2 linked regions of the Sus scrofa genome follow. The protein of the gene in region 1 purifies or fractionates together with the protein of each later gene. This does not show direct contact. Links are inferred from orthologs where the notes say so. Each region holds a gene or a part of one and is shown in the gene's direction. Other genes may lie near its edges.

Region 1 (4,417 bases):
AGGTCATTCCCTAGACCATTTAAACCAGAACTTCTGAGGGTGGGTTTCAGGCAGAGCTTGTTTGAATGCCCTCCTGGTGACTAGTGCAGCCCAGATCCAGGATCACTGAATGAAGGTGGTGTGACCACATGTCAGGGGGGTAAAGTAAAATGATACATTTAATATGCCGTTTTTCTCCAGTAATGTCTAATTTTATGCTTGTTTAATGCTTCAGTTTTCAAGGCGCAGTGAGTGTTTAGATATTTAACAAAGATCTTATAATCTGGGGGGGGGGTCAGAGATACGTAGCAAAGAATACCTGGAAATTAGGAGGGAGAAGAGGGGGAGGGAGAAGCGGGGAGAGACCAGGCCTTGGAGGGGAGAAATTGCTGAGGACATCATTTGATGCAAAAACAGCTTAAAGGAAGCCGATCTGGCGGAAGGAAAAGCATGGGATGGGGGAGGTGTCAGGCTCAGCCGTGTCCCTCTGTGGCTTCGGAAAGCAGCTATGTGCCCATCTGCGGAAGGGGATGGCACTTCCTCAGTTATGCTGGGAGCCAGCTTGTTGTTGGTACCAACTCCCAAAGATGTCCAGTAGCTATAGCAAGGAGAACGAACCCCCTGGGGAGACTGGGGTCCTTCCTAGGACCCTCCCAGGGGCTCTGGGCTCTTGGTTACTGTTCCCGGCTCCCCCCCTGAGCACTGAGAGGCATCCCAGTATTAGGGGATCCATCCAGGGTCCTTACTTGGTAAACAAGACGCTCCCTGATGGGGCCCTACCCACCGCTCCAGCTTCCTCTTCTGCCCCCACGCTTTCAGCTCCAGGAACACCACAGCGTGTGCCGCCGTGTGATGTCTCAGGGCCTTCGTGGATGCGGGGACCCACTCCCTCCTCCTGCTGAATTCCTCATTCCTCCAGCCTCGGGTCGGGCTCTAGTCATCCTGAGAGCCTTTACCCCGGCAGTGCCGCGGGAACCCTTTGGTGCGGCGCTCCTGCAGCCTTGTTTTGGTTTTGGCAGTCGGGACATTTGCTCCACTCTGGTGGCCCGTCTGTCCTCCAGATGGGGAAGTACCTAATGCAGCTTTGTATCCTCAGCACCCAGCACAGGGGCTGCCTGGCCTCCAGGCGGCAGTCGGGAGACTTGAGTAAGCGAGCGAGTGGGTGGAGGGGTAAATGAGCCAACGACTGAATGACAGGGTGGGTAAGTGAGCAAATGAATGAGCAGGCTCCTGAGTGGGCAGACGAACGAGGACGTGAGTAAGCGGATGAGCGGGGAGCGGGTGAATGAACGAGTGGATGGGTGCCTGAGAGAGGGCAGGTGGGGGCTGATGAGTGGGCGAGGGCGCCGGCAGAGAACGCGCGGGGAGCCGCGGCGGACGCGGGGCTGCGAGCGCGGGCCTGGACCGCGCCACCTGCCCTCCCCTCTGCAGCGTGGCTGGGGCGGGGCGAGACGGGGCGGGGCCAGGGCGGGGATGGGCGTGGCGGCCCGGAGTGGGCGTGGCGAGGCCGGGCAGCGGCCGGGCAGGCGTGGAGGAAGTCACGTGGCGCGCGCTCACATGACTGGCGGCGCGATGGACCCGCTGCCCGCGGCGCCAGTCGCTGCAGCACCTGAGGCGGAGGCGGACGAAGAGGCGGACCCGCCGGTAGCAGGTACGGCGGGCGCCCAGCAGGCCGGGCGCGGCTTGGGCCCGAGACCCCTCGGCCTTCGGTTTTCTTTCTGCCCCCCGACGCCGCGCGCCCCGCCGGGTCCCCCTCCCACTCCCGCGTCCACGCCCAGGAGGGCGCGTGGCTCCGCGGCCCAGCGCGCGCGTTTGCACCTCGCCGCGCGCTTCTGCCCGCGTCTCCCCGGGGCTGCCCCGGTCCCTGGGGGCCCCGAGGCCAGGCCTCCGCGCGCTTCCTGCGTGCCGGCCTGCCCACCGCGTGGGGCGCCGTCCCTGGACCTGTCCGGCCTTGGCAAGTACTCTGGTCGCCCGGGACTTGGGCGTTTTCACCCGTCAGCCCGCTGTATTTCTCCCTAAGTGCTTTTTCTGATGGATCAGCGTGAACACGAAGAAGCATGCGTGAGGCTTGGCTTTTCTAGGATCTTCCTGTGTAAATGGTCCCCCCTCACCTCTCTAACTGGAGAGTAGATGTAGGTGGGTGTTGGTCTGAGTTACTGCTGCTGCTTGGTGGTGGTGGTGGGCACAAGGTCGGCGACTCTGCCTGGAGAGTCTGGAAAGGTGTCCTTGCGGTGGCTGTGCTTCCGATGCGTTCTGGAGGGCTCTGAGAGTTGATTCATTAGGGAGAAGAGGAGGCAGGAGTGGAGTGAAGCCGCTGCGGGTAGGGGCGAGGGGGTGGGCAGTGCATTGCGTTGGCCTAATTGACGGGAAAGACCCTGGGTGAGTCTGCATGTAAACAGCCCCCCCCTCCGCCATTGGTCTGTAGTTGTATTTCCTTTGACTGGAAGCTGCGTAAGGGAAGCATGTGATGGCTGTTGCTCCTGGTTAGAACATTGTGTTCCTGAGGGCACAGGTTGGCCCAGCGTTCACCCACCCATACCAGGGCCCCTGACTGGACTCCTTGGCGGGGTCACACTTGGACCTGCGGGGCAGTGTGTGGGTAGGAATGCTTTTTCCTCTGAGGACTGTAAAACAATTTAGAGTTGCTGGATGTGGTGGCGGCTCAGGTCTCTTTGCAGGAACGGGGCTGGCTGGCACTGAATGATTTCTGCCTGCTGGCCTTCCCTGGGGCTGTGGTGGTGGTATTCGGTGTTCTGCTACCATCAGGGTAGCGCTTCTCAGTTTACTGAGTGCTTTCCTATAGCTGACTGCGTCTCAAAGTGTGGTTCATGGACCTTCGAGATGTACGTAGCCTCTCGTTTTGTTCTGTTCATATCCTTATGGTCATCCTGTGAGGCAGGTGAAATGGTAGACCAAAACTCAGATTTTCTTTTTTCGCTTTTTACATTGGGAAAACTAAACCCAGAGGCAAGTGACTTGCCCAGAGTGGGCAATGTGGAGTTCCTGTTGTGGCTCAGTGGTCATGAACCCGACTAGAATCCATGAAGATGTGGGTTCCCTCCCTGGCCTTGCTCAGTGGTTAAGGATCTGGTGTTGCCGTGAGCTGTGGTGTAGGCCAGCAGCTGCAGCTCCGATTGGACCCCTAGCCTGGGATCTTACATATGCCACAGGTGCAGCCCTAAAAAGACCAAACAAACAAAAAAACCCAAAGTGGGCAATGCTTAGGGGGTATGATGTCTTATTGGGGATGGTGGTTGGATGGGCTGGAGTCAGAAAATCTAAGCCTTTCAGGAGTTCCCTGTGGTGCAGCAGGTTAAGGATCCAACATTGTCACTGCAGCAGCTCAGGTTGCCTCTGTGACGCAGATTTGATTCCTGGCCTGGCAATGTCCACATGCCGCAGGTGCGGCCAAAAAAAGGAAAAAAAAAAATCTAAGCCTTTGAGAGTGAATTTTATACAAAGATGTTATGTGTATCTCATGGTTTAGCAAAGGTTGATTCTGGCTGTTGAGAAGTTGTGGCTTATGGGTATACAACGAATTTCCTTTTCTCTGCTGTTGTCCAAATACTACCATTAGTATTAATTGTTGGAGTTTCCATCGTGGTGCAGCAGAAACAAATCTGACTAGGAACATGAGGTTTTGGGTTCAATCCCTGGCCTCGCTCTGTGGGTTAAGGATCCGGCGTGGCCGAGAGCTGTGGTGTAGGTTGCAGATGCGGCTTGGATCCCACGTTGCTGTGGCTCTGGCGTACGCTGGTGGCTACAGCTCCGATTCAACCCCTAGCCTGGGAACCTCCATATGCCGCAGGTGCAGCCCTAAGAAGACAAGAAAAAAAAGTATTAATTGTGGGGACTGTGGGGTCTATGTCTTTGTAATACCTTTAGGATTGTCGGGGGCGGGGGAATTGTGTGCACTGTGGTTTGCAGCCTTGTTACATTTTAACATTGCAGTCTTGTTACATTTTAATTCCTTGAAGCTTAAGCTGTGAGTGATAACTCCCTTCCTAAAAATTTAACTCTCAGTTATGGGGAACATGGACAAACACATTCTCTTCAGAACATACAGAACCTTCTGAAGTCTCCACCCGTTTGCCGTCACCCCCACTTAACCCGTTTGGGGCGGATCCTCTCTGGTTCTATGTTTTGTACGTGCGTGTGCTCAGGCATCCTACACCTGAGGCACGCGTGTCGCGGTTTCCCTGGGTGATGTTTTGGTTTCTACTGCTGCTGTAACAAAGTCACAAACCTGGCGGCCTAAACAGCAAAAGTTGGCCATTTTACAGTTCTGGAGGTCAGTAGTCCAAAGCAGGGTTCCCTGGGCTAAACCCAGGTGTGGGCAGGGCTGCGCTCCCTCCGGAGGCCCCGAGGGAGGAGCTGCTTGCTGGCCGTATCCAGCCCAGGGTGCCTCCCACATTCCTCGCCTGATCCCCCCCTGCGC
Region 2 (4,497 bases), on another chromosome or scaffold:
CCTATTAAAAGTTTCCCTGGCCTACTACTTGAATATGCTGGTGGCAATAGTGGCAGAAACCCGGAGCTCCCAAGGTCTGTCTCTTGCTCCTCAGCCCTTGAGGTGGAAAGACTTTTAATACCCACCACTGACGCTTCCAGAGGAGGTACGGTGTCCAGGGTCCAGAGACAGTACTGTGGAATCTGCTTCCTTTCATCCTTACTGCTTTTATCTCATTCTCACACTATGCACCAGGCCAGGTTCAAGACAGATTTCTGAGGATCTGGTCCTTTTATTTTAAAATTTCTTTGCCTAGAGAACTACGTTCAACCTGATGAGTTTTTACGTGAATTTACTTTCCAGGATAACATTTCTAGGAAAAGCTGCATAAAGAGTAATCATGTTTATCTGACACACAGGCCAACGTTTCTTGACGACGGTAATGGACAGTGATTAACAGCCAACACCAGCTCTCCCAGGCACCAAGCCACAAGCAAGACTGAGTCCTAAAAGGGAGTCGCTACTAAATTCGCCCTCTTGAAAAAGTAAAAAAACCCTTCCACAGTTCCGGGAGGATGGCTCCCCTCCCTCGTCCCGGCAATTCGCCTCCTGTTTCGCTAGACTCAGCCTGTGACTCCTCACTCAAGCCGCACCCCCACTTCCTCCGGAGGCGGGGGGACTGAGGGAAGAGGGACGCCTGACAACGCTCATCTTGACAACGCTACGCAGTCGGCAAGGCGCTTGCACTTCCGTCGGACTCCTCTGCACTCCACGAGTGAGGCATTCTTTCATTCATCAAACATTTGCTCGGCCCGACCACGCGTTATCTGGCGCTGAGTCTCGCTCCACACCGCGGAAAGGGTGGGGCGCTCGCTCCCTCCAGCAGGTGCAGCGGGCAGAGCTGTAAGATAACTTCTCGCTCAGCTGGGCTCTCCGAAGGACCGTCTGGGGGCCAAATGCCTCACCTTCGGGTGGTGCGCGCCCGACCGCAGCCGGGCGGCCCAGGCCTCCTCCTTGCTCTCCAAGGAGCAGTCACCACCTGCTCGGAAGGAAACCGCTACAGAGCACACTCTCCCCGCCGCCCTCGGGTCAGGGGTAGGATCCGGCGGCAGCTTAGGCTCCACTCGGCTCCTCCCCTTCCTCTTCTCAGTTCTGACGCGGCTGTAGAGGCGGCGGCAGCAACAGCGGCGAGTCCCGCGGCCCGAGGTGCACCCACCCGCTCTTGGAGCCCGACTTCCTCTTCCCTTGGCGCGTCATCAGCGCGCGTCCGTGGCACCCGGGGCGGGGTTGTTGGAAAGGAGGAAAGAGGCCCGCGGAGGACGGCTGCGAGCGGAAAGCGAAGGGGAGGGGGGGAGGGAGCGGTTGCTAGGTGACTTACGTCATTGCTCCGCGCCGCTCTCCTCCCGCCCCTCTCTCTGGAGTGAGGCGAGAGCCCCGCACTGAGCGAGCGAGACAGCGAGCTGAGCCCCGGGCGCTACAGCCGCCGCTGCCGTGATCGTGAGCGCGAGAGAGCCTCCGAGGGACCCGGCCTCCGTGCCCTGGCCACCGCCGAGACCTCCGCCCTAGCCGGGGCCATCGGGAGCCGCCGCCACCCCTCTTCTCCCCCCCTCACCTTTCCGGCCGGCAGCAGCGGCTGCACACGCCGGAGCCCGAGCCCAAGCCGGAGCCGGTGGCTGGGGGGCAGGGAGGCGGCTGCCTCTGGCCGGGACTAGCCAGCCGCTCCGTGGTGAGAGGACGCTGAGGAGGGGCCGGAGCTTCTGTCTCGTCCTGGGGCGCGGGGCGAGGACCCCCAAGGTGGAGGGAGGGGGTCCCAGCCGCAGCGACACATGCGGGAGCCGGGAGCGGGGGCGGCGCCGAGCGGAGCCGGCCGGGTCCCCCACCTCGCCGCCGCGTCGGCCACCCGCCCGGGGCCGTAGCATCCCGCCTCGGAGTGTATGAGCCGGGCCCCCCAGCTCGGCAGCCACCCCCCGGCCGGGGGGGCGGGGACCCCGATGTGAAGCGGCGGCCGGGGCGGCGGGGACAGCAGGACCGGCGCCGCCGTCCTTCCCTTCCCTCCCCCCTCCCCTCCGCCCCCTCGGGGGGCTTCTCCCTCGGCCCGTCGCCGGCCCCCCGGCTCCTCGGCAGGACTCCAGGAGGAGTTCTTAGAGCCCCCTCCCCAGCCCCAGCCCCGAGGGCGGCGGGGCCGGGGGGGACCCGGGGGGCCGGCCGCAGTCTCCGCCCAGAGTAAACTTTTTAAAAACCAAATCGGGAGCCTCCCGAACGTGACTGTCCGGGGAGAAGTGGCCCAGGACGGGCAGAAGACCCAGCCTGAAGAGACGCAGGAAGAGGAAAAAACAGAGGTAAACGGGGCCACCGCTGCCGCCGCCTCTGCCCCGGTGGCGCGGAAGAGAGACCCGGGTGGCTGCCCGGCTTCGCGATCCCAGCCCCGCTTCTTACTCTGTAAGGCGCCGGAGCCTGCTCAACTGCCCTATCGGTCCCGAGGAGGAAGAGAACCAGCTCACTTGGTCAGCGCCCCGGCTCATCTCTAAAGTGTGAGTGGCCCGGGAAAGGGAAAGGGCGGCGGGGACGGGGGAGGGGGTAAAAAGGGGGAGGATGCTGGTGCGTCCTCCGGAGAGTTGCAGATGCTTTCCGGGAGCGTTGGGGGTGCACACAGGAGAGGGTATCTTAGTCCTCCCCGCGGGGAGAAGGCATCAGGCAGCCCTGACTTTGTAACCTTTTAGCTCTCTGTACCAGACATACGCAAGCTTTCAGGTTTCTCTTTGAGGAGTTCTTTCTCCAGAGTGGACGCTTGCACTTTTCAGGCCAGTAATTAGCAAAGGGAAATTGAGGAAGCCGGAGCCTACGTGTGCACAAAGGACATCTCTGTAACCTTACCTTTTCCTGGCACACCGGGTGGGAACGGGCGCTGTAGTTTTTGTGTCCGGGCAACGCTTACTTGGTTTCCCACGTGGGAACCTCCGTGAACCCCTGAAAGTAAAATTCCTTTCTTTTTGGGCAGCCCCCTCTGAGAGGCTGGGTTTCAGTGCCTATCAGTACAGGAGTTTTTCGGGTTCTCATTTCCTGGGTGCAGCCCTTGGGTATCGAAGGACACCGTAAGGGATTTCAATTATGGAGGAAATTCTCAGTTTTTAGGAATCACAGTTCATTTGGGGGAGAGCATTGAGTACTTTAACCAGTTTGTAAAAGTTATTACATTTTTTTTGCAAATGCCTTTTTTTTTTTCTCTTATGAGTAGCATATGTCCTAATTGCTAACACTTTTTTTATTTGGTGAAATGACCTAAAGCTTTGCTTATTTGGGTTATCTCATGGTTCTCTACCTGATGAAGAGAAACTTCTGATGTGTAATTCTTTGAAGAATGATTTTCTCCCCTTTATTTTAACAGTGAAGTCTGTAAAATCTTTGATTTGTATTTTAGTTATTTTCTCAAGGTGCCAGATGAAGGGACAGGAAAGTAATTTACCATTTCATATATTTGTACAGACCTTAAGGGTTAAGCATAGGGTGGATTTTATATAACAGAACTAGACAGTACTCTACTGAGAACTGCGTGAGCTCACGTTCTCTGAAGCCACTGCTGAGAGAAGCTTTGTGGGAATGAATGTAAGCCTGGGGTTATCTAGGCTAACTTTCACATTCAGGATCTTGAGTAAACTTACTTAAAACGTTCTCTAATACTTTTCATTTGGTACTTTTTCTCTTTTCAACTAATGAATTCTGCAAGTTTATTAGCCCCAGAATTATGCAACAGTTCATTTATTTAACCCAGACCTGTCTCTTGAAAGTTCCAAGGCACATCCTGAGTTTGAGTTTTGACAAATGCTAGAGCAAACCAGAGTTCATCGTCTCCTGGTTTTGTAGATTTTGATTGTTCCTCTCTACCAGCATCTTTCCTGACTCTTTTTGTCTGTCTTAGAATCATTTCTTCCATCCCTTTGATTCCCTCTGGAACTTCTTCAGCTGTTTTGTTGTTCTTTATTTGCCTTGTTCTTGTTCTGCTTTTGTTAGGAACCCTAAATTCTATCTATTTTAAGTAGACTCTGACATTAGACTATTGAGTTGTGGGCATAATGTTAGACAAGGAATCAAAAACAAATGTCTCTGGACCTGTTCTTGTGTGACCTTGAGGAAGTCATGTATTCCATGCTTCACAAAGGCAGGAGGAAGAGAAATCTAGTCCCGAATAGGCTGTGTTTTGGGGGGAGGAAGGAAAGACAAGCCAGCAAGTTAGTTTGAGTGTAGATTATACTCCATCAAAGTTATTAACTTTAAGACTTTTATTGCTTTGGCTATAGATTGGTTAAAAATCAAGGTAATGTTTTATTGCCTATTTGGGTAGCAAAGAAACAACTAAGTATTCCGGGGATCCCTGCCTTTGAGATGCTTCTGCTCGCAGGTGGCAGAGGCCGTGAAACCCAAATTGCACAGAATTGTAGACCTTCTTTTTCACTCTTCCATCTATACAGCTCTTCAATGACCATGGTATAAAAATGCCAGTTCCCTAAAACAACAAAATCC

The links.
Region 2: the proteins of SNX8 (region 1) and FBXW7 purify together in Homo sapiens (affinity purification with mass spectrometry; 3 studies listed by BioGRID and IntAct, counting the BioPlex papers as one, with this or other methods). This does not show direct contact. The link is inferred for Sus scrofa from reciprocal best matches to the Homo sapiens genes SNX8 and FBXW7.

Annotation. Positions count from the first base shown.
Region 1 is NC_010445.4:1,616,063-1,620,479, reverse strand, and holds the start of SNX8 (sorting nexin-8), read left to right. Parts: upstream 1-1,488; 5' UTR 1,489-1,536; coding exon 1,537-1,630; intron 1,631-2,060; exon of another isoform or gene 2,061-2,075; coding exon of another isoform or gene 2,076-2,115; intron 2,116-4,417. UniProt on the Homo sapiens protein: May be involved in several stages of intracellular trafficking. May play a role in intracellular protein transport from early endosomes to the trans-Golgi network.
Region 2 is NC_010450.4:76,480,621-76,485,117, forward strand, and holds the start of FBXW7 (F-box/WD repeat-containing protein 7), read left to right. Parts: upstream 1-1,406; 5' UTR 1,407-2,510; intron 2,511-4,497. Other genes in the region: uncharacterized protein LOC110262137, read right to left, coding at 126-196. UniProt on the Homo sapiens protein: Substrate recognition component of a SCF (SKP1-CUL1-F-box protein) E3 ubiquitin-protein ligase complex which mediates the ubiquitination and subsequent proteasomal degradation of target proteins.